3 linked regions of the Struthio camelus genome follow. The protein of the gene in region 3 interacts with the protein of the main gene of each other region in a pairwise test. Links are inferred from orthologs where the notes say so. Each region holds a gene or a part of one and is shown on either strand. Other genes may lie near its edges. The genes, in order: TXLNB, ESRRG and DEUP1.

What was found.
Region 1: the proteins of DEUP1 (region 3) and TXLNB interact in binary tests that used the Homo sapiens proteins (3 or more experiments, as listed by UniProt). The two-hybrid records come from large-scale screens. The link is inferred for Struthio camelus from reciprocal best matches to the Homo sapiens genes DEUP1 and TXLNB.
Region 2: the proteins of DEUP1 (region 3) and ESRRG interact in binary tests that used the Homo sapiens proteins (3 or more experiments, as listed by UniProt). The two-hybrid records come from large-scale screens. The link is inferred for Struthio camelus from reciprocal best matches to the Homo sapiens genes DEUP1 and ESRRG.

What each region holds. Positions count from the first base shown.
Region 1 is NC_090944.1:75,316,920-75,324,549, forward strand, and holds the start of TXLNB (beta-taxilin), read right to left. Parts: upstream 3,003-7,630; 5' UTR 1-3,002. UniProt on the Homo sapiens protein: Promotes motor nerve regeneration. May be involved in intracellular vesicle traffic.
Region 2 is NC_090944.1:116,100,293-116,107,945, forward strand, and holds the start of ESRRG (estrogen-related receptor gamma), read right to left. Parts: upstream 3,016-7,653; coding exon 2,783-3,015; intron 2,406-2,782; exon of another isoform or gene 2,141-2,405; coding exon of another isoform or gene 2,073-2,140; intron 1-2,072. UniProt on the Homo sapiens protein: Orphan receptor that acts as a transcription activator in the absence of bound ligand. Binds specifically to an estrogen response element and activates reporter genes controlled by estrogen response elements.
Region 3 is NC_090942.1:212,794,130-212,801,288, forward strand, and holds the start of DEUP1 (deuterosome assembly protein 1), read right to left. Parts: upstream 3,069-7,159; 5' UTR 2,981-3,068; intron 1-2,980. UniProt on the Homo sapiens protein: Key structural component of the deuterosome, a structure that promotes de novo centriole amplification in multiciliated cells.

The sequences.
Region 1 (7,630 bases), on a different chromosome or scaffold from region 3:
ATTTATTCTTGGAAAGGCTCAAGCCTTCTGAAACCTTAAAAGCAAGCAAAATCAATTACCAGGGTTTCAATTTTCTACAGGCAATTTCCGCCACTTCAGCTTGCCCAAGAGATAGACTCTCCATAAATACGTTATGCTATATGCTATTTGAAGAATTTGGCAAACTGGTGAATAGCTTCATTTGAAAAATCACACATAAGGTGTGTGAATCCCCTGGGCGAGGCATGCAGTCACACCTGAATGCATCTCTGCAGTCTGGAAACAACCCTTCTCCAATATAAACAGGTAATTTATTGGGAAGAAAAAGAGCAGTATTATCTGTTTTCAGTTAACCTGGTGCTGCAGTGATGTACTGCTGATTTACACGGTTATGAGCTAGTGTAAAATCCAGTACGAAATTTCAAGAAACTACTGAATCCTAGGATAATTTTTCCCTGTCTCTTTTAGTCCAATTTTATTTAAAAACGATGGCCCTCCAGCCAAAAATGACCTTCTATCAATAGCCTGTGGGAAGAGAGTTGGGCCCAGTCAAGCCTGGATATTCTGTGATCCTGCCAGGGGAAATCTCTGGGTCCCACTCAGATGTAATCATGTTGTAAATTACATATCAGACATAATGTGGAAGTAACTTAAATGTCAAGGGTACATTGGTCAAAGGGGAGTTGTAGAAAAGAATATTAGCTATTCCAATAGGATAATGTAAACTAACTTGCCTTATGTAAAGCTATTTTTCTCTCTCCCATCCTTTTCTAGTTCCTTCCATTTGCTAACAATATTCCCTCGCATTAGCTTCGTTATCAATATGCAACATTTTTTAGATTGTTGCTAGAACTGGCTTGCAAAAATTAGAAATGGAAAACACCTATTACAGGCTCAGTCCTGCAGCTGCTCCATATGTGGAACTCCCATTGATCTCACAAGCAACACCTGCTAGTGAGCAGAATAGAGAATAAAGCAAATTAGGAATTGAAGGCTAGCTGTGGCTCTCAGTTGTGAGGGCTGTACATGGGTTGTAAAACATCTCATAATTGGAACCAAACATCCTTCTCTAGAAAGGACAAGGTCCAAATTCTGGTGACAATCATAAGTAAGCTGGGGGCAGGGGGTGCTGAGCAACACGAAGGTTATGACTAACCTATCTAAGACTACAACAGAGAAGAATAGAGACTGATACAATGGGAATGACATAGATTGAGATAATATTTACACAGAGCTTGTAAATGATAAGGACATTTGTGCTGAAAGACAAAGATGTGTAGAAAGAAAGGGAAAAATAGACACAGTGATGGTGAACTAAGTCATAATGAAAGCCTTATTCATTATGACTGAAGGACAGAATGGCTGATGATCTGTTAGTTCAGGAGGAACTAACAGTGAATCGAGGACTAGGCACTGTGATATGTCTAAACTTGCTGATGGTGTAAACACCAATGACCTTTTTTAGATGTGCATGGAAAGAGGACCACTACATGAGGAATGTGAAAGGATGAAAAGTATATTGGCATTAACAGATTAACAGATTAAAATTGTGAAACAGCTTTAAGTGTATGGGTGGCTAAGGGTTTTCCAGCTCTCTTGCTAGAATCACCTTCTTAAACATGCCACATTTGGGGGACCAAATGAGTAAAGACAGAAGAAAATAAAACCCAACAGGTGAAAGGATGAATAAAGGAAAGAAAATCAGAGTAATTTACATACTTTATTGAGCTGAAGGATAAATACGACAGACGTGGCACCAATGTCAGTACTTTCCTTTGAATATAATAAATATTCATTTTGTGTACATAAAAAGCTTATGCAAGCATATTTATTGTGAGAAGCAGATCTGGTCCCTAATTTAGATCACGGACTTCAACGGGAGTATGCAGACAGATTTATATGTAATATGTGGTCTTGGATATCTTCAGATGTACCTCCGAAACTCTACTATTGCTATGAATTTAACAAGTTTTTTCCCTGTAAATGCAGTGCTCTAAAAGAGAGTATGGGTTGGACTGCAGTGTTGCTCAATAACCTCAGAGTAATTATGTGGACTGAATGAACATTGAGTTGCTCATGCAGCTCAGTTGAGTTGAGTAGGGGGACCAAACCCGTTGAGTAGGGGGAATTGCTGAAGCAGGGAAAAATCAACTATTTAGTACCCTTCTTGGAACTGGTCAAAACAATTCTGCTTCACTCTGATACTCTGAAAACATCAGCACCATTTGTAATATTGTGTTCCTATGACATTGGAAGACATACCACTAATTACCATTTTCCTTATTAAACTTTTTCTTTGGTTGTTAGTTATGTTTTGTGGACCGAAAAGGTATTTTACTACAAAATATGGTTTTCTGTGGTTAAAATATTTATTCAAACTTTTAGAATTAAAGATGTAGCAACAAGCTTCTGTAACAGTGATTTCCAGTTGTGTAGTAACTTGCATGCAAGGATCTAATATTATCTATTAAGTAAGTTCAACATTAGGCAGCAATGAGCTAAAAAAGCATACTGTATTCATTACTTGAAAGGGTAAACTGAGGCATAAAGTGTTATATGTTAATCAACAATAAATAATGATTTGCCCAATATCATGCAGATGGGAATAAGGTGTGTTCAGACTCTTTTCTACTTTAATTGTGGCACACTTGCTTTATACACGGGGACTGGAATTAGAAGCAGAGAAGGGGAGTTCCACCTCACAGAAATGTTGGGTAAAGCCCTTACTGCAAAGAGATTTACATCCGATGTGAAATTCAGAGGATTCAGCTAGTCAACTTGAATGAAGATGTTCTAAAAATTGTGTAGTTTTGCATAAAGTAGGAGGTCTAAGTTAGGCAAATGATAGGACCAGAGGGCATAAGTGTTAGCTAGTATAAAGCACTCTTCCCTGTTCAAAAGAACAGTCCTCAGAACATGACAACAGAAAATCAAACTTGGAAATGTATGTGATGTCTGTGGGACCTCTGAGACAATTACGAGATTGTGACTATGATGGCTCACACAGGACCATGTAAATAAGAAGCTGGGACTGTGATATTGTCATTTTAATAATTAATAAATGTTACCTTTTCTCAGTATGTTTTCTTTTCTTTTTTCTTACCATTTGGCATCCTACCCCCCTTCCCTATCTTATATGTGTAAGTTGTCCGGGGCCAGGGCTACCTTTCTGTTGCATGCTTGTACTGGACGTTCCTGCTCTCTGGTTGGACCACCGTGTGTCACAGCAACACAAAATAACAAACCACTCACCCTCTTTAGTATTAGCCTCTATTTTTCAATTAAGAGAGCCCCTTAAAATTCTTAAACCATAAAGCTATGTAAATTTTGAAAAAAGGTCGGGGTGGAACTGGGCTAATAAATACATTTAGATTTATGCTCATTCTATCAGCATCTCTTCTACGAGCTTTATTCCCTTTAACATGTCTCAGTCTCTTCGGAGCACTGAGAAAGACAACAGTGGCTGCAGTGGGTGAGAGAGCGAATCTCAGCAGCTTTCCTACCAACCTGCCAGGCACCCTAAGCACTACATTTGAGAATATCCTTAGGGTAGGAAATATATTTACTCAGTTTTTCTGTTGGAAAGAGACCTCTAGAAAGTGTCCTTCTACCCTGGTGAGCTTCACACCAACCTTAGGACAACTTTTATGCAATATAAGCAGTATGAAACCACCTGCCACTGATCAGCAGTACTATGTGAAGAATTTTCCTTGTATGAGGGAACTCACGTGGAACTTGAAAGTTCTCTCTCTGCCTACACAGGCTGTATAGAGAGGAGGGAAAAGTGCTTGTTGTGAGCCTTTGTCACTGGGAGATCAGCTAGTAGAGTAGGCAGGATAGTCACTATTTGTAAGGCTGTGGACTGTTTCACCAACCAGAGCATGGAAAAAGACCTGTCCTTAGTCCTATCCTTCTTCCTCACTTATTTGCCAAACAAACTAAGTGTAAAAAGGAAAAAGTCATTGGAGGGCCTTTGGAGCAACAAGTCCCCCAGAAACTTTCTGTGTGTCAACCAACAGCAAACAAAGAGAACACAGAACTCCTTTTCATCTGGCCTGTGTTCTCTTTCCTTTTATGCTACCAGCTAATGTTTGACTAGCTGGGTCCTTTTAATGCTTTATCAATGTCAAAGTCCTATTCTGCCATTCTGTTCCTTCCTAGGACGTCAGGTGTTGAGGAGACCCACAGGTCACAGATCTTCCAGGTAACCTTGATCAAAAAGTGGAAGAAGAGAGAAATGCAGCATTTTAGCATGATCATCCACTTCAGGTAACAAATGCTGAGGAATCACGAATCCAAACGGCCTTTGTATAAGCTGGCAACTTGCGTTTCTAAAGGAAAGTATGAAACCCCCCTTGCTAACAGTGGATGCTTTACTGGCAGCCTGAATTGGTTTGAAGATGAAATATTATATACTTTTATTTCTTCACAATTTAAGCAGAATAAACACAAACAGGAAAACATCCATACCCCTGCGATGTAACATGCACGAATGTAGAAAACTGAGCCTGCATATATTTAAGTTTCCTTAAAAAGTAACATGCAATTTCCTCACAATGAAAGAGGCTTGCATAAGCCACTGACCAAATGAAAATATGGACGGGAAAGTATTGCAATCCACTCCTGACCCAAGCATCACATTGAGAATATACTCAAATACATGATATTACTTGTGAGTGAAGTTACTAAGGACTTTGAATTGGCACCAGGTCATCACAGCGACTGTGAATCCTGACCCATCTTGAATTATCGTCATAATCCGAGGTGTTGGGAGTTAGAGGATGGCTGGTATCTCCATCTGTTGTGCTATGCTCATGCAACATTTTAACTTTTTCAGTTAGGGACTCCAGCTATACCATTCCAGAGTTTCAAGAAGGATTTACAAGACCTCTGTACCCTAGCCAAGCAATGAACAGTCCCGTTAAAATGAGTAATGCATTGACACTGCCCATTGACACTGGTAGGGTGGCTTAAGGGAACGCTGGAATAACTGGGTTAGCCCTAGAATATGCAATGCAGTTTCAGCATTGAGGACTGCCTGCACTTTGAAGGGGTCTCCAAGTATACAGCTCTCCTATATAATCCATCAGTCAAGCCTTGATTTTCTGGCTTAGACACCACTGGCCAAGCAGTTATCTGGGTCAGAACTTCACCTAGAGTATCATCAATCTAGATTTTGGTGATGAACGTTATCTAGGCAAATCACAGTGGAAAAAAATAATCTTAATTCTTGTTAGTCTTCACAGTTCATAAATCAAGATCACTGTCTTTTGAAAGCTAACTAAAAAAGAAACCAAAAAATCTTAGAATGGGTCTCCTTCTATGCTAAGTCTTTTCTCATTTTGTCATCCCTTATCGTCAGCAAGGGATGAGGACAACATTTAGGGCAAAGCTGTTATGTATAGCAAGAACTACAGAGACTTAAAAGAGAAGCAAGGAGGTAAAACATTCTCCCTTACTTCCTTAGGCTGGATTAAGAATGGAAAATTCAGCTTTGGAATTCAGAAATGCTTCACTCGACCGGTTTCTGCAGAGCCAATCTCCTCTTTTGCCAGAGCTCCTGGCAACTCTGCTGGGCAGAAAGGGGAGGCAAAATAAAACAAAACAGAACAAAAAAATCAAAAACTAACCCCCCAAATCTTATAATGGCTTTCTACTCAGAGGACTTCATTGCTTGTGATATTTACAGGTAAAATGAACCATGTCAAGAAGAATCCTGGGCTAGAGGTTGGGAAACCGTGTAAAGAGTCCTTCTGTGCATATTAATCTAATTTTTGTGATGGTATTGTAGAATTCTTGAAATATAAAGAATCATGAAAAGGCTCCAGTCCGTAAGCATCTGTCACTATTCATTCTGACTACCTTTCATTTGGTTAAAATATATATTATGAACCAAATTAAAAGGCTGCTCTTCTAAATATTTTTCTCAAACCAGTAAGAAATGCAGAGTTTCAGCTACACCTAGTGGACAAACTCGAAGTACTGCAGCTTTTCTGTAGCCATACGTATACATGTTTTTATGTCATGTTAAATTACTCCAGCTCTGTTTCAATATATAAACTGTGAATTGAATCCTAACACCTTCAAGCAAGTTTCACAATTTAAAGAGCTCCTTAAAAAAATCGGCATGACTATCTGTGCACTGCTGTCTTCAATGTAAAGTGTTTGATTAAAAGGTCCGGACAGAGAATCTCTTCTCAGAAGGCGAAAGCGTGAGAAAAAGAGAAAGAAAGCATGTGGTGTGGTTTGCTGGCTTGCAGCACAGCGCACCAGGCTCTTCTGTAGCAGGTCTGTATCTGCGGACGAGGGGACGGGGAGAGATGCCCATCAGAGGTTGCTCTTGTCCTTATAGGGCAAAGGCGACTTGTGATAGATCAGCTGTTGCTCTCCCCTACAATGCGAGGACAAGTCCGCAATCACCCAGTGCTCAGACTGACCACACAGCCCAAAGGCAAACACACTACCGTCTTAAAACGCTTGAAACACCTTATTTTCATCCTGATTAAACTGAAGGGAGGACAAGAGAAAATATGAGGCCTGCGAGGCTTCTTGGCCACTGAAAAATAATCTTGCCAGATGAGACAGGAACAGTGGGATAAAGCGGATTTAAAAAGAGAAAAGGTGTTTTTTACAAGGAGGATTGAGTAAAGGCTTCAAGTCCATGTTTTGGCCAAACCAGCTTTTAGCAGGGTGACTGACTGAGAACGGGAACACTCCCTAGTAAGTTTGCAGGAGCAAGGACGTAGATCCTCCAGAGCAGAGCAGATGGGACACCTGATTGCAGGCTTAATCAGCTCCCTCCAATGGCAGTTTTGCCACTGACTTCAGCCAGAGCAAATTCAGCGCTGTGTTGTAAATAACGGTCTGTGAAGAAGGTTAACATGTCATGTTTTCTTGAATTCTGCATTTCTCTGGCCTACAGTGTTATGCCCATTCAGAAATTAAAAGCAAAATCAAAAAGTAGTCCTCATCACTCCACAAGAGGCCATTTGTTTTTATTTTGTGGGTTAGGTCTGACCATTTTTCTCACCTATCCCCTAAAACTCTCCCTGTGATGACCACAACTGTTCTTCTTTTTCTGCAAGTCTGCTACTACTTAGAAATGCTTCATATCCATCACCAAACCTCTGTTCATACCTTGCTCTTCCTCTCATCAGATCACATGCTAGCCTTAACGCAGCCTGCCTATAAGCAGCAACCTAACATACTGCCTATAATTAATACAAAATACAACTATTTAACTTCTGTATCATAGCAGCTGTGTTCAGAGGCTTGGTGTAATTTTCTACCTTTGGAAAATTCCAGGAATCCATTCTCGGCTTCAAGTGTTTACTTTAAACTTTGTACAAAGTTGATGGAGGACATATAACTGTACAAGCTTTGTAGACAGAGATAGCATCAGTTATTAGACCAGCTAATGTAGCTGGAAAAAAAAATAGAGACGATTTTGAGCAACAAGCCCTTAAACACTCATCCGGACAAACAGAGAAATCTGAAGTTCTCTGTATTACCTCTGTTTGAATAGCAGCGGATAAGACGTTTTATAGACTTCCATAAACTTCACACTCTCTTGTGCAATGCTCTAATATTAGCTAAGCAGGCTGCAATATAAATTTCATAGTGGAGTTGTTGGGCTCTTTGTCAAAACTGC
Region 2 (7,653 bases), on a different chromosome or scaffold from region 3:
GGAATTAGAAGTTATGCCAAAATATTTCATAGAAGAATGGAACTGACATAAAATATTTTATATTTAACATATATTCACCCCCCACATATTTGTGTATGTCCTGATATGCGTGAGTATGCATATGATCCTCATGCTCATCCACATGCATGCATATCCCACACAGACTCGCACAATAACTCCACAGACCATTCTCATATTGCAACATGAGAAGCGTTAGAAAAATACAAGATACGTACACTGACCATCATCGCACTGGATTATTTACAGTGACTCTGGACGACGTCCACTTTTTAAAACGTTACATCCGTTCTACACACTCTTTAGTTTTTGTCATTTGTGTATTTTATCTCTTCCGCTACAAAATAAAAATCCATGCATGCTATAACAGCTAAATTTCTTTTATGCTTAAACTCTGTTGAACGTTTTTGAATGGATAAAGTAGAGAAACTGCTGAGGGTTCAAATTAATGAAACACAGGGAGCTACAAAGGGCAAATGTACACAGTGCACCGAAGCGATCTGGAGTTACAAATCTACCCAGTTTTCTATGTTTGGCATTCAGAGATCATATTTAAATTTACTAAACTAGTCCTCCCCTTCCCCCCCCCTTTTTGGAGTGTTTCAATTGCCTTTCCTTCTTCCAACAGCTGTGACAACTGTTAAAACAGTCAGTAAAATTAAGTCCGCTCTATAATCCTTTAGTCAACGTTACATTTTAATCAGAGGTTGAAGGAGATTTCATGTTATGAGCACACTGATTCATTTAGAATGATTAAATTGACACATATGTCAAATTGAGCAGACATATTTATTGCATCTGTTGGTGTTAGTTTATTAACTATTAGTAATTATCAGTGTTATTACTGAAAAAGCAAAAAGTCAATGCTGCAGCTGGCTTTAAGTTATTGCATTCTTTAACATGCTCTGCCTTAAAATCAAAGCATACCTAGTGATGGTCAGACAGATGTCTGTGCACTCCCAAAATGTTCCGACAATTTTTAGCTTAGATCCTCTCTGCCTTCATCTACAACGTGAGAACTGCAGAAAGCGTCTACTATTTATTTTGTGTGCCCTTACACTTGTATGTGGACACACAAGCAACAACATATAGTCAAGAGAGAATTACTATGAATATTAATAACATGTAAAAACTCTGAGGCTTACTAATTGAAACAGAAACAGAGAAGCAGACGTTTCTGAGCATTAGTTTTTTGTGTATGTGTGTCCATGCAACCACGTATTCCTGAAACCCTGAGTTGGGGCAATATACCGGGATTGTTTTAAGATGACTTTTAATTGAGCCAAAGAAGAGGAAAAAAACTAGTTTGAATCTTGCACCAGAGCCAAAAAGACATGTGCCCCGATTTCATTGAAATGCATCTACTCTAAGAGGCTTATCTAAACTAATCATTCAAATTAGCTGTAAGAAGGTAAATTCAAGAAAGCTTGGGGGTGGGGGGAGAACAACCAGAAAATAAAACTTACTCTTTGTGTATTTTATAAAGAAAACTTCTGATACCAGTAAAAGCTGTGGAAACTGCGTTCTTAAATTTATGAAGCTATCTTACGCCATAAGGCAGCGCACAGTGCACTGACCTATAAACCACACCAGAGTGGGCATCTTACCTTTTGTTTATTTTATTTATCCCAGAACATTACAGTGGATTTTGCTGCCTCCTGTTCCCAGACTGCTTGCTCCTATGAGCAAGTCTATTTGTTACTGTTTGTCTTACTTCCTGTATTATTTCACCAGTACATAATCACTGCAATTCACTTTTCATCTCTGTCTTAATTACAAATAGCAATGCAATACACAGACGCTAAGGACAGCTAGTGGGCATCTACCTATAATACAGTGTCACCTCTCAACACAGCCTTTCCACACACTGCGTCTCGGGCGATGCTTGCTATTAGCTTGTTTTTTCTTCGGTATCACCGGCGCTGCTAGTGCAACACGAAGGCACAGCTACCTAAGTGGCTCGACATAAAGAAAAATGAATCGGTGACAGCTCCCATGATATACTAATATTTAATCCTGGCTGCAGGCTGAAATCAAGTTTACGAGCCACTCACCAGCCCCAGACCGCCTGATTTTGTTTGGGCTCCGCGATTCCCATCCGAGACACCCCACGTAGGCGCATCCATCCGCACGCACCACGGGGCGGCTAGCAAGTGCCGGCGAGCAACTGCGGCTCGTTCAAAAAGTATTTCGCCGTCGTCGGCAGGGCAGAGGCCGCCGCCGAAGGGCACGGAGCGGCCGCACGCCACCAGTCCCCTACAGAAGTACCAAAACACCCCGCACCCTTCTCCGATTTTCCTGCGGGGCTGCTGCCCCGGCGGAGCGGCCGGTACCTCAGGGCCGCGCGGCGGCGGGCCGCTCCCCACCAACCGTCACCCCGCCGCCGTTGGGGGGGGGGGGAGGCGCCGGGGGCGCGCGCGGGGTCCCTCCCCTCGCCGCCGCCAGGCAGCCGGGGAGCCCGCACACCTGTCCGGGCGCGGGGCAGGCGGGCAGCACCGCTCCTCCCCGCCCGGAGGGAGCACCCCGCGGGCGGGCGGGCGGGCGGGCAGGCGGGCGCCTCCTGCCTGCCTGCCTGCCCGCCCGCCCGCCCGGCGCGGAGCCGCCGCGCAGCTGCCCCGGGCCGGCGCAGGCGACGGCTCGCGCGCACCGAGACGGCCCGGCGTTACCTGCAGCGGCGTTTTACGCGTTTGCCGTGTGCGGGGGAGGGGGGCGGGGGGGGGGCAGGCGGCGGCCGGCGGGGTGGGGGGCGGGGAGCGGTACCTACTCTTCCTCGTAGTGCAGGGAGAGCGGCTCCGGCAGGCAAAGTTCTACCGAATCCATGTGCGCCCGGCGACCATTCTTCGCGCGCCCCCGCCGCAAGCCAAAGTTTCCGTGGCCGAGCGCCGCGCCGCGCCACGCAGGTGCGCTCCGGGTGACAAGCCGGCGGGCACGGCCAGTGGGGACCAAAAGCTCGCCCGCGCGCCTAATCAAGGACTTAAAGCCCCGCTCGGCGCTCATGAATATGAAGCAGGGCTTTACATATGCAGTCCCCCCGGCCCGGCGGGGCGGCCGATTGGTGGGGCGGCGGCCAATCAGGCGCCAGGGGCGCCGGGGCGGCACGGCGCGCGGCCCGCGCGGCAGGTAGAGGGTGGGGACAGGGGAGCGGCCTGAGGCGGCGGCGGCCGTTGGGGCCGAGCCCGCAGACGTGTCAGCGCGCGGCCGGCCCGCGAGGGGCCACGGCGGCGCCGGCCTCCCCTGCCGCGGCGCGGGAGGCCGGCTCGAACTTAAAGCACACTTGGCCAGGTACCTTGCCAGGAAGAAATAACACGCAGCCTCTCACTTAATGCGGGGAAGAAATCCGCCTAAGGTAGAGAACGAAGTTTGTGCTGCCGTTATCTGTTGGTGCGTCGCGCTGTGGCGGTTGGGGGCTCGGGCTCTCGGTGCGGCAGGGCTTTGCTTTGGACAGGCGCTCCTCACCCCGCTTCTCCTAACCTCCGGAGTCGCTCGGCACCTGCCATCAAACGTAGTGTGCCGAAGCGCCTGCTAACTCAACTTCTCATTGCCACCCGAGTTACGGCTTGTGGGGGGAAGGAAGGGGGGGAGAGGGAGGTGTTGCTGGGATTTTTTATATTTTTTATATACATATATATATATACACACATACACATACACACACACACACACACACATATAGTGAAAATCTGATTTTGTACCTACAAGAAAAATGTACATACAAAACAAAACTGGCACTCAGCCGCGTTTCCTAACAGCATGGGTGCGACTGGGAGTGTATGCAGGAATGTGCCTTCCTATCCAGGTTAGATACGTGTTAACATGGCCGTATTTAACATGTATCCCCATATACAAATATTTAGGTGTTTGGATGTAAATATTTAGATCTAGTAGACAGCAGGAAAAGCTCCAGAACTGATCAATTTCTTCTGCAAGTGTGGAGGGATTATAGTGGACTAACTCAGTCTGTTTCATTTTAACAAGATAAGGACCGCATTGTAGAGGGTCTGCATTGTTAAACCTCAGAATGCACACAGACCTCTACTATGTTTTGGGGGGCGGGGGGGTTGTTTTCTGTAAAGTAAATTTCACCAAACTGAAAGGGAAGTAAACACATGCCTGCAAACACATCACCAGCCACGATTCCAGCAAACCACTAGCTTTTGTAACTCACAGTTGCTTGGCCCTGTCATAATGAAAGGTCTCTGATTAGACTTGTTTTGAGAAAACGATCATACAACAAAATCAGAGACGCTGTTCTCACTGAACTCTGCCCCCACACACATTTTAAAAGGATCAGTATTTAATTGAGAGCACAATATTTTTCTCTCAAAAACTACTATTTTTACTTAATATTACAACTAAAACACTACTATTTGCTAGTTACAAAGTGTTTTTATTCCTGCCTCTCCCAGGAAATAGATACAGGCTGTTTCTGGCAATAAAAACAAAAAAAAACACAGCAGAAAGCCCATGATTTTTCATAATTCAGCTCAACTGCTCACAAAATCTTTTGTGACTGGAGCCCTACATGATGCAAATGGCAATCTTTTAGATCAAAACAAATCAGTGCACACCCTCAGACTGCATTAATACCACTCACAAATGGGAACACAAATGCCTTCTCCAAATCCATCTCACAGTTTTTTACCAAATAAATAAAACAACAGAACCCAAGTGCAAAATATGTTAGTGCACTGGACATGTTTGTATCTGTTTACGGCAGAGAGATTCCAGTGTTATGTACTTAACCTGATGTAAAGACTGGGCCTGCTTCTTACAAATGCAGTAAATATACGTGCAAGTTTTTAGCGATCAGAACTCACACAGCAAAACTACGTCTCTGACTACTGTATAAAAGCAGGTAGTAAAAGCTTAATTACAGTAGCATTATGCTGTCTATATTGTTAAATGTGAACTCTGTAATTAAGATGTAAATTCGCTTTTGAGCAGTGAATTAAAGAGCTCTGAAATGTAGAGTAAAATCCAAGCACTGAAGAAACATCACAGACAAAAAAGGGTGGGTTTTTTTTTAATCAAATTTTAAAATGAGAAGCATTTAATCATGTTACAATACTAGAACATCCTCTTTAAGAAGCAGTTTGATAAATGCAGATTTTGGAACCAAATCAGCACTTGAATATGATGTGTTTATTTTATCTATAGATTTCTTTATTATTGTATAAACCCAAAGCACAGATCCTACAAATCGGTTTACATGTGCACATTAGCAAACCATGCAAAATACAAATATATTGTTTGTACTGAGTGTCTGTGTGTGTGTCCATTTATAGATTTATATTCAAAGTTGCTATTTTTCAGTATTTGTATGCTAAAATTTCTTCAAATCTTTTCATGTGTATGTACTTTCTTATTTAAAATCACCTGCCATCAATCCCTATACACAAGTAATTTGATAAAAGTCACTTTAAAGTATTAAGTTCACTGGAATACACCCTCATTAAAATATGACTTATTAATCCATTTTAAAAAACACAAAGCATGGGTTAGCTTATTTTTACTTTTGTTCATTATCTTCCAAGATTGTGTATTTATATTAGGTGCTGAAACATGATAACCTCTTTCCTTCTGTCACGGTATGTCTTCCAGTATGCTCTCCTTTTCACGTTCACACACTTTCCACTACCTCGTTGGCTTCTCCCCCCACTCTCCCTCTACACCTCCAAATCCATTTTTCCTCTCACCCTATTAACCATCACTACCTTTCTATCAACCATCTTTCATCCAAGCAGGCAGCTGGCTTCTCTGCCAGTGCTGCTCCTTGGACAACCAGAAATACAGTGCTATACTTTACATGTTGATAAACAAAGCAGTTGGCTTCTTCCCCTAGGACTGAAAGTGTCACCTCCACCAGACTGGGGCCTGCAATTCCAACTACGTTCTTGAACTTGGGTTTCACAGTTACCAATCAGTTGGTGGGGGGAGATAAAAAGAATACTGCAGCAAATAAACTGGGGCTACGCGTAACTTCATTGTCTCAAGATTCTCTGTACCGCTTTAGAAAGAAATAAAAACAGTAGTTGGAAAAAAAAAAAGCAGACGTCAGTTTACTGAATTTTATCGGAAGCTACAGAAGAAGAACACGCATGCAAACACACATCTTATCAAAATCTACAATGCAAAATCTTACCACAAGGAGTCTATACAAAACAGTGGTAATGGAATCAGAGAGGGGAAGGGGGAAAACTGCCATGAGTGTCTGCACTAGTCAATGGGCATTACTGAGCAGCATCTATATCTCCATGTCTTGCTGTGCATATGATTATTCCTGTGTACAGAACAGTACATCTTTAAGCGCCTTCACACTTAAATTCTATAGACATTTTGAGGCATCCAAACAGCCAGATTCTTAAAACACAACCACCTCAAGGCAACTGAAGAAGTAAGATTCAGTGGCACTTTGCAGAAGCAGCACAGTATATTGTGTCAAGCATGTATTTACCAAAAAGAGCAACAAACTAAAGTCATCTATGTAGGCGCAAAAATATAAATAATTCTATTACCTGCTGAGAATTTATTTGAAAATAAGTATACTGTTACTTTAGATGGAAATTTTCTATATACCTTGCTACCTTTTTCAAAATTTAGCTGTGGAATATCATATTTTAACAGTTTGAAAGAAATTTCCAAGTATCATCAAATAAGTGATTTTCTCTTTTTTTCAAAACCACTGAGTAAAGAAACACAACTCAAACGTGCTGTGCTGCAGTAACATCAAGTAACATCAACGTTAGAACAACACTGTCACTGTCTGCTTGTGTTAAGACGCGCTTGGCTTTTGTGCTCCTTACTCGAAGGTAATTGGGGCATCCCTGGATACACTGCTAATGCCTTAAAAAAAAAAACCTAATGCTATAAAAGTTCCAAATTCTGCTCACCTGTTTGTACGCAGTTGGGCAAACTATAGCAGGTTATTACTTTAAAACCATCTGCTACTTCAATCTGTATTTAGCATTAATTACTCCTTATTCTGATCTTAGGGAAACAAGCTCACACAGCACCATCTCAGAGCGCTCTTTAGAACTTTTCCACAGCGCATTCACAAATGCACAAAGTAACGCTTTTAGATTTTGCTTCTTACACCCAGTTACAGCATATTAAAAAAAAGCATCCGTGAAGTAACTCAATCACCTTACCATGTTTCCAAGCTACATTCAGTTCATCCAGTCTCAAAAAAATACTCCATATTTTCTGCTCATTTTATTTTCAAGGGCATGGGCATTGATATTTAAAAGATTGCCTTCACTGGTACAGTACAGAAACTGTTCACATTGCTGTAAATGAAAATTATTCTCTTGACAAAATGTCTTTTCCAAAGCCTTTGACAAAACCCAAAAAGTGAAGAAAAAAAAAGGGGGGGGGGGGGACAAAGAAAGGGGAGAGAGAGGAAAAAAAAAAAAAAAGCAAGTTGCACAGACACTGCCTGTCACCCTCCAAAAAAAGGTCTTACTCCCTAAAGATAATTCGGGCATGTACTTCAATACTGATAGCTCACTGTTACACCCCAAGCTCTTTTTTTAGTGCAAGTTTCTTCAGAGGAGCTGAAGTGCATTACTGTCTCAGACAGCCAAGGATAAGATGACTGAGGGAATTCAGTTGCTCTGTTTAATTAATACAGGATTA
Region 3 (7,159 bases):
GCTATAATCGCTCTCAAAACCAATTCTGGAATTACATTGACGATCCACTCCCTTGCTTAGCACACGCGGCACTGAGATACACAGCCATCAAGCGCAATCCGGTTCTGTGGGCCTGGTGGGACAAAGGATGTGCGGAAAAGCTGGCTGCGCGCAAGGACAGGAACCAGCCAAATTGCCAATAGCAGGGTGGCATGAAACAGTCCTCATTCCTTGGCAGGGCAAGCTGCAACCAGTGCGAGCAGCGGGGCTCTCCCGGGGAGGGACAGCAGCCCAAACAGGCCGGCAGACACAGCGCACGGCGCTGGCACCCGGCAGCCCTAGCTTTACAGGGGGCACGCAGCAGGGCACGACAGCACGCGTGAGCGCCCTGGCTCTGTCAGTGCATGGCAAAGACGTACCGGACAGGCTCGGCTCCGCCGGGACAGACGGCAACTGACGCGGGCGCAGGAGCAGTGCTGACAGGACAGGGGACAGGCACTTGAGGTGGCAGTGGCATCCAGCAGCCTTGGCTATACCTAGGACAGGCAGCGCTGAGGTGACACAGGTATAGAGGCAGCCTTGGCGGTACTGGGGACAGGCAGCTGAGGTGACACAGGTATAGAGGCAGCCTTGGCGGTACTGGGGACAGGCAGCCGAGGTGACACAGGTATAGACGCAGCCTTGGCGGTACTGGGGACAGGCAGCCGAGGTGACACAGGTATAGAGGCAGCCTTGGCGGTACTGGGGACAGGCAGCCGAGGTGACACAGGTATAGAGGCAGCCTTGGCGGTACTGGGGACAGGCAGCCGAGGTGACACAGGTATAGACGCAGCCTTGGTGGTACTGGGGACAGGCAGCGCTGAGGTGACACAGGTATAGAGGCAGCCTTGGCGGTACTGGGGACAGGCAGCCGAGGTGACACAGGTATAGAGGCAGCCTTGGCGGTACTGGGGACAGGCAGCCGAGGTGACACAGGTACAGAGGCAGCCTTGGCGGTACTGGGGACAGGCAGCCGAGGTGACACAGGTATAGAGGCAGCCTTGGCGGTACTGGGGACAGGCAGCCGAGGTGACACAGGTATAGACGCAGCCTTGGCGGTACTGGGGACAGGCAGTGCTGAGGTGACACAGGTATAGAGGCAGCCTTGGCGGTACTGGGGACAGGCAGCCGAGGTGACACAGGTACAGAGGCAGCCTTGGCGGTACTGGGGACAGGCAGCCGAGGTGACACAGGTACAGAGGCAGCCTTGGCGGTACTGGGGACAGGCAGCCGAGGTGACACTGGTATAGAGGCAGCCTTGGCGGTACTGGGGACAGGCAGCCGAGGTGACACAGGTACAGAGGCAGCCTTGGCGGTACTGGGGACAGGCAGCCGAGGTGACACAGGTACAGAGGCAGCCTTGGCGGTACTGGGGACAGGCAGCCGAGGTGACACAGGTACAGAGGCAGCCTTGGCGGTACTGGGGACAGGCAGCCGAGGTGACACAGGTATAGACGCAGCCTTGGCGGTACTGGGGACAGGCAGCCGAGGTGACACAGGTATAGAGGCAGCCTTGGCGGTACTGGGGACAGGCAGCCGAGGTGACACAGGTATAGAGGCAGCCTTGGCGGTACTGGGGACAGGCAGCCGAGGTGACACAGGTATAGACGCAGCCTTGGTGGTACTGGGGACAGGCAGCGCTGAGGTGACACAGGTATAGAGGCAGCCTTGGCGGTACTGGGGACAGGCAGCCGAGGTGACACAGGTATAGAGGCAGCCTTGGCGGTACTGGGGACAGGCAGCCGAGGTGACACAGGTACAGAGGCAGCCTTGGCGGTACTGGGGACAGGCAGCCGAGGTGACACAGGTATAGAGGCAGCCTTGGCGGTACTGGGGACAGGCAGCCGAGGTGACACAGGTATAGACGCAGCCTTGGCGGTACTGGGGACAGGCAGTGCTGAGGTGACACAGGTATAGAGGCAGCCTTGGCGGTACTGGGGACAGGCAGCCGAGGTGACACAGGTACAGAGGCAGCCTTGGCGGTACTGGGGACAGGCAGCCGAGGTGACACAGGTACAGAGGCAGCCTTGGCGGTACTGGGGACAGGCAGCCGAGGTGACACTGGTATAGAGGCAGCCTTGGCGGTACTGGGGACAGGCAGCCGAGGTGACACAGGTACAGAGGCAGCCTTGGCGGTACTGGGGACAGGCAGCCGAGGTGACACAGGTACAGAGGCAGCCTTGGCGGTACTGGGGACAGGCAGCCGAGGTGACACAGGTACAGAGGCAGCCTTGGCGGTACTGGGGACAGGCAGCCGAGGTGACACAGGTACAGAGGCAGCCTTGGCGGTACTGGGGACAGGCAGCCGAGGTGACACAGGTACAGAGGCAGCCTTGGCGGTACTGGGGACAGGCAGCCGAGGTGACACAGGTATAGAGGCAGCCTTGGCGGTACTGGGGACAGGCAGCCGAGGTGACACAGGTATAGAGGCAGCCTTGGCGGTACTGGGGACAGGCAGCCGAGGTGACACAGGTATAGAGGCAGCCTTGGCGGTACTGGGGACAGGCAGCCGAGGTGACACAGGTATAGAGGCAGCCTTGGCGGTACTGGGGACAGGCAGCCGAGGTGACACAGGTATAGAGGCAGCCTTGGCGGTACTGGGGACAGGCAGCCGAGGTGACACAGGTATAGAGGCAGCCTTGGCGGTACTGGGGACAGGCAGCCGAGGTGACACAGGTACAGAGGCAGCCTTGGCGGTACTGGGGACAGGCAGCCGAGGTGACACAGGTATAGAGGCAGCCTTGGCGGTACTGGGGACAGGCAGCTGAGGTGACACTGGTGCAGGGCAGTGGGGATGGGCGCCCCAGGGGACACCGGCAGCGGGCAGCGCCGCTCTCGACGGACGCCCCCGAGGAGCCCGGCGGCGGCAGCGGACGGCGCGGCGGACCCGACCCGGTGCCACCCCCGGCGCCCAGCGGCCCCGCAGCGGGCCGGCCAGCTCCCCCTGCCCCCCAGCCGTTACCTGCGCGCTCCTCTCGGCCCCTCGCAGCGGCTGCCGGTCGGGCCCCGGCGTGGGCTCGGCAGCGCGCTGTGCCCGCCGCGCTCCCCCTGCCGCCCCGGCTCCCGCCCCGCCCGCGGCCGACGCCGCCCGCCCCGCCCGGCGGCCGTTGCGGGCCGCGCCGGGCGGCTTCTGCCGTTGCCGCGGTAACGGGGAGGGCCGCGGGGCGAGGCGGGAAGGCGGCGGGAAGGCGGCGGCGCCGCCGGGAGCCGTGTGAGGGGCGCGGCTGCGGGCAGCGAGGACGGCCGAGGCGGAGACGGCGGCGGCGGGGCGAGGACGGGGCTACTCGCCGTCGACATAATTTTTAATGTAGGTGCCAGCAAACTTCCGTTGGTTTATCTGGAACAGCTGCAGCGAGCTTTGCCGCCGTAGTCGCGGGGCATCTCTCTGAACCTCCTCCCGGTGTCACCCGCTCTCGGTGGAAACCAGCTATCCCCAAATGTAACTTCCGTCCCTTGTGGGCAGCAACTTAAAAAAAAATGCAGAGATACAGTTTGGAAATTGCATATCGATATTTTCAAAGGGTTTTAGGAGGACAATTCCCATTGCAATTAGCCAGAGCTGTGTTTCTAGCCCCCTGAGGTGCCTTTAAGTATCTCATTCACTATATTAAAAAAATCCCATATCAGTTCTTGTACATTTTCTGGTTGCTTTTGCTGATCCACGTCATCTCTTCACTGGAACTTGGCTTACAAGGCCCCAAACTTTTATCTGTTGACTTTAAATGAGAGGTAATTAGTAATATTTGAAGCAGTTGAAGAGTAAGGGGAAGAAATACAGAATCATTAAAAGTTTTATGAATGATATTTACACATACTTTGAATTATGATAGCCAGCAAAAGAGGAAACTACTTTCAAACCAGCTTATATGCTTAAATAAGTGGAAAGCTATATAATCACGTTTCTGCAGGAAAGAAGGAAGTAGATAGGGCAGGGACAAAACAGGACTTGACTGAATGTCAATCAAGACAAGAAACAACATCGATATTTTTATAAAAACAACGGGAATTGACTAGGAAGGTGCCCAGCAGCACGACTAGCCAGTAGCAAGAGCGTGTAGGGAGAGCCACGTTTTGGGATAAGTAGTGATCCCGGTCATACAATGTGCTGCACCTTTAGTAGCAAACCCCTTGCTCAGCCTCGTTTGGGCATTCATGCACCGAGCTGAGGTCAATAGCTGTAGCAAAGACAGTGGAAAAAACAGTATAAAGAGAAATGCTGGTCCTCCAAAATCTGCAACTCGATCTTTTTATTTTCAACTTCTCCTCTTGTATGTGACAGTATTGACAGGTCTTGTCCACCCAAGAGAGCATATACCACAGATGTTTGCTTTGGAGAGAACTAGGGAAAGTGAATCTTCTGCTACAGCAGGACTTTTCGCCCTGGTGTGGGCTTTACGTGAGGTTGTCAGGCTCTGTGGATTTGTGCATCTGTGAAGCATTTAGCTTCGTGGATTTGTGAAGCAATTTTGACAGCCGTTGCTGAAGGAGAGGCTACTTAAATTCTGTTAACTAATCTGTTCCACTAAGACATTGTAATAGCAGGTTTCAGAGAAGTCCTAAGTAAAGCAATAGTCTTTTAGCATGTAATCATTCTGAGAATTTGGTAAAATTCTACTAACAAATTAAATCTGTGGTCTACAATTAGCATATTTCCAGAGCAGAATAAAAGAGGTGATGCTAAGCTAAGTAATATAATTGAGATGTAATGTAAGTGATGAATAATTATATGCCTACTGGGCAATCGTCCTAGATATTTCTCACTTTAATTATTTAAGATGTGATTTTTTGTAGTGGAATATGTAATGACAGGTAAGAGCTAAGTGCATTTCTGTGTTTAATTTTAAAAGCAGTTTATATTTATAGAGTACATTCACACCTTATCTTGCAATCTCAGATGACAAATTTGATTGTGATACAGAAAGACCATTTTCTTGCAGTAGGCTCAGCATAGCTCTTGTAACAAACATACTAATGCATGCTCTTTCTTTAGCATGGAAATCAGCTGGTTTTAGTGATATTTATGTGACAGATTCATAGCAGCTCTAAAATAGTGTAGTAATTACATTTTATATGTTAAGCAGTTTGGATGTTTATAGTATGAATATATCAACTTAATTTACAGGTGCTCTATTAGAAGGGACAAATGGAAAGGAAAAAAAAAAGGTCATTGTAAGCCATCCTTCAGCAAATACACAGAAATCACTGAGAGACAATATAGCCTATGAAAATCCCTAAAATCTGATCAAAAAGAGAAAAATGCCGTTTTAAAAAAGAACCTTTTAAGAGGGATTTTTGTTTGTGAAAATTGGACTGAGGCATAAAGATCTGCCTGAGGATTTTGAAGGTGTTTACCTAATTTACTGGCAGGAGATGACAAATCCTGACATAACACAGGCAGACCCAGAGTGCTGTTCTTAAACATTTTTTTTTCTACTTTAAACTGCAAACTACTCTATTCTTAAGAAGGTTGTCAGATCACTGAAGGAAAGAACAGAAGGAGCTTGGATTTAGTTGCATCTAGCAGGTATACTCATCAATAAGCGATACCACCGGCTGGGACCTGGTCTACAAGCGGAGAATTGTAAGAATTCATCCTGTAATAGGTAGGAGCGTGGAATATGAAAACTAAGGGTAGTGCTCTGAGAAAACGCGGAAAGGGGACAAAGGTGCTATTAGCCCTGTTACTGTGACAACAGGTATTTAATCATTTTGTGTGTCATACTTTAATGAACACAAAGCGTAATGCTAGATAATGCATGTGTAAAAGAAATAATCCCTTTTCTAAAGCTTCCTGCTTATGTGTTTTTCTAGAAACTCACGATAATGCTTAGCACTCCTGTAACATCTTTTAGCGTGATGTAGTCTTCCCTTTGTTGCTACTGCCTCATAAAAATAATACTCTATGGTCTAGCAGCTTGGAGATAGTTTCTAATGCTCTATACACAGTAATAGTTCCTAATTAAATTGTTTTTACTTATAAAGATGAAATGAAATAGTCTCCTGTCAGTGATCACTGGCAATTAAAAAAGAAATAAAGAAATATGACTCTGCCAAACTTCATAAGTTCTACTTCATGTGTTGCTATGTATTGTGCCACAGTTGCTTCAGTTGCTATATTGTACCAAACTGAATCCACTGAAGTGAGGATTTGTTAGAAGTTATTCTTGTTAAAATCGGAAAGTTCTCGAAAAATATCACCTCTAAAGCACACATTTGAATTGATACTGTCTGAAGGGATCACCAAAAAAAACCATCTTAAATTCCAATTATATTATGATATCTCTATACTTTTAGTTTTCAGTGGCACAGGTTTGATAACATCGAACGGGACTTCAGAGCTCTGGGAACGGTGGTTAAGGGTCTGGGAGCCCAGGTCGTTTTCTCCTCAATCCTGCCTGTGAGGGGGAAGGACGGGAGGAGGAGTAGACGAGTTTTCCAAGTTAAAAACTGGCTGCGCTGCTGGTGTTGGCAGCAGGGCTTTAGTTTCTATGCCCATGGGACCCTGTTTGAAGATCAACAGCTGATGGGGTGACATGGGATCCACCTCACCAAGCAGGGCACGCGTATCTTTGCCAACAGGTTGGCCAGCCTGGTAAGGAGGGCTTTAAACTAGGCAAGATGGGGGAAGGGGAGTGGAATAGTGACACGGTAGTCAGTAAAACACCGCTCAAGTCAGGATGCCTCCAGTGGGTGCATGCCGCCAGGGGAGACGGCATGGAACAGGGCTATGGAGGATGCTCTTGCACCTCTCCTGAGAAGCTTGCATGCTTGACTGGCTCTCTGAAATGCCTGTACACCAATGCGCGCAGCATGGGGAATAAGCAGGAAGAGTTAGAGATCTGCGTGCGGTCGCAGGGCCATGATCTCGTTGCAGTGACAGAGACATGGTGGGATAGCTCACATGACTGGGATGCTGTCGTGGATGGCTATGTGCCCTTTAGGAAAGACAGGCCGGGCAGGCGAGGTGGTGGAGTTGCTCTTTATGTGAGGGAGCAACTAGAATGTGTGGAGCTCTGCCTGGGGGTGGATGAAGAGCAAGTTGAGAGCCTATGGGTAAGGATTAAAGGGCAGGCTAACAGGGGCAACACGGTGCTGGGGGTATACTACAGGCCACCTGCCCAGGAAGAAGTTGTGGATGAGG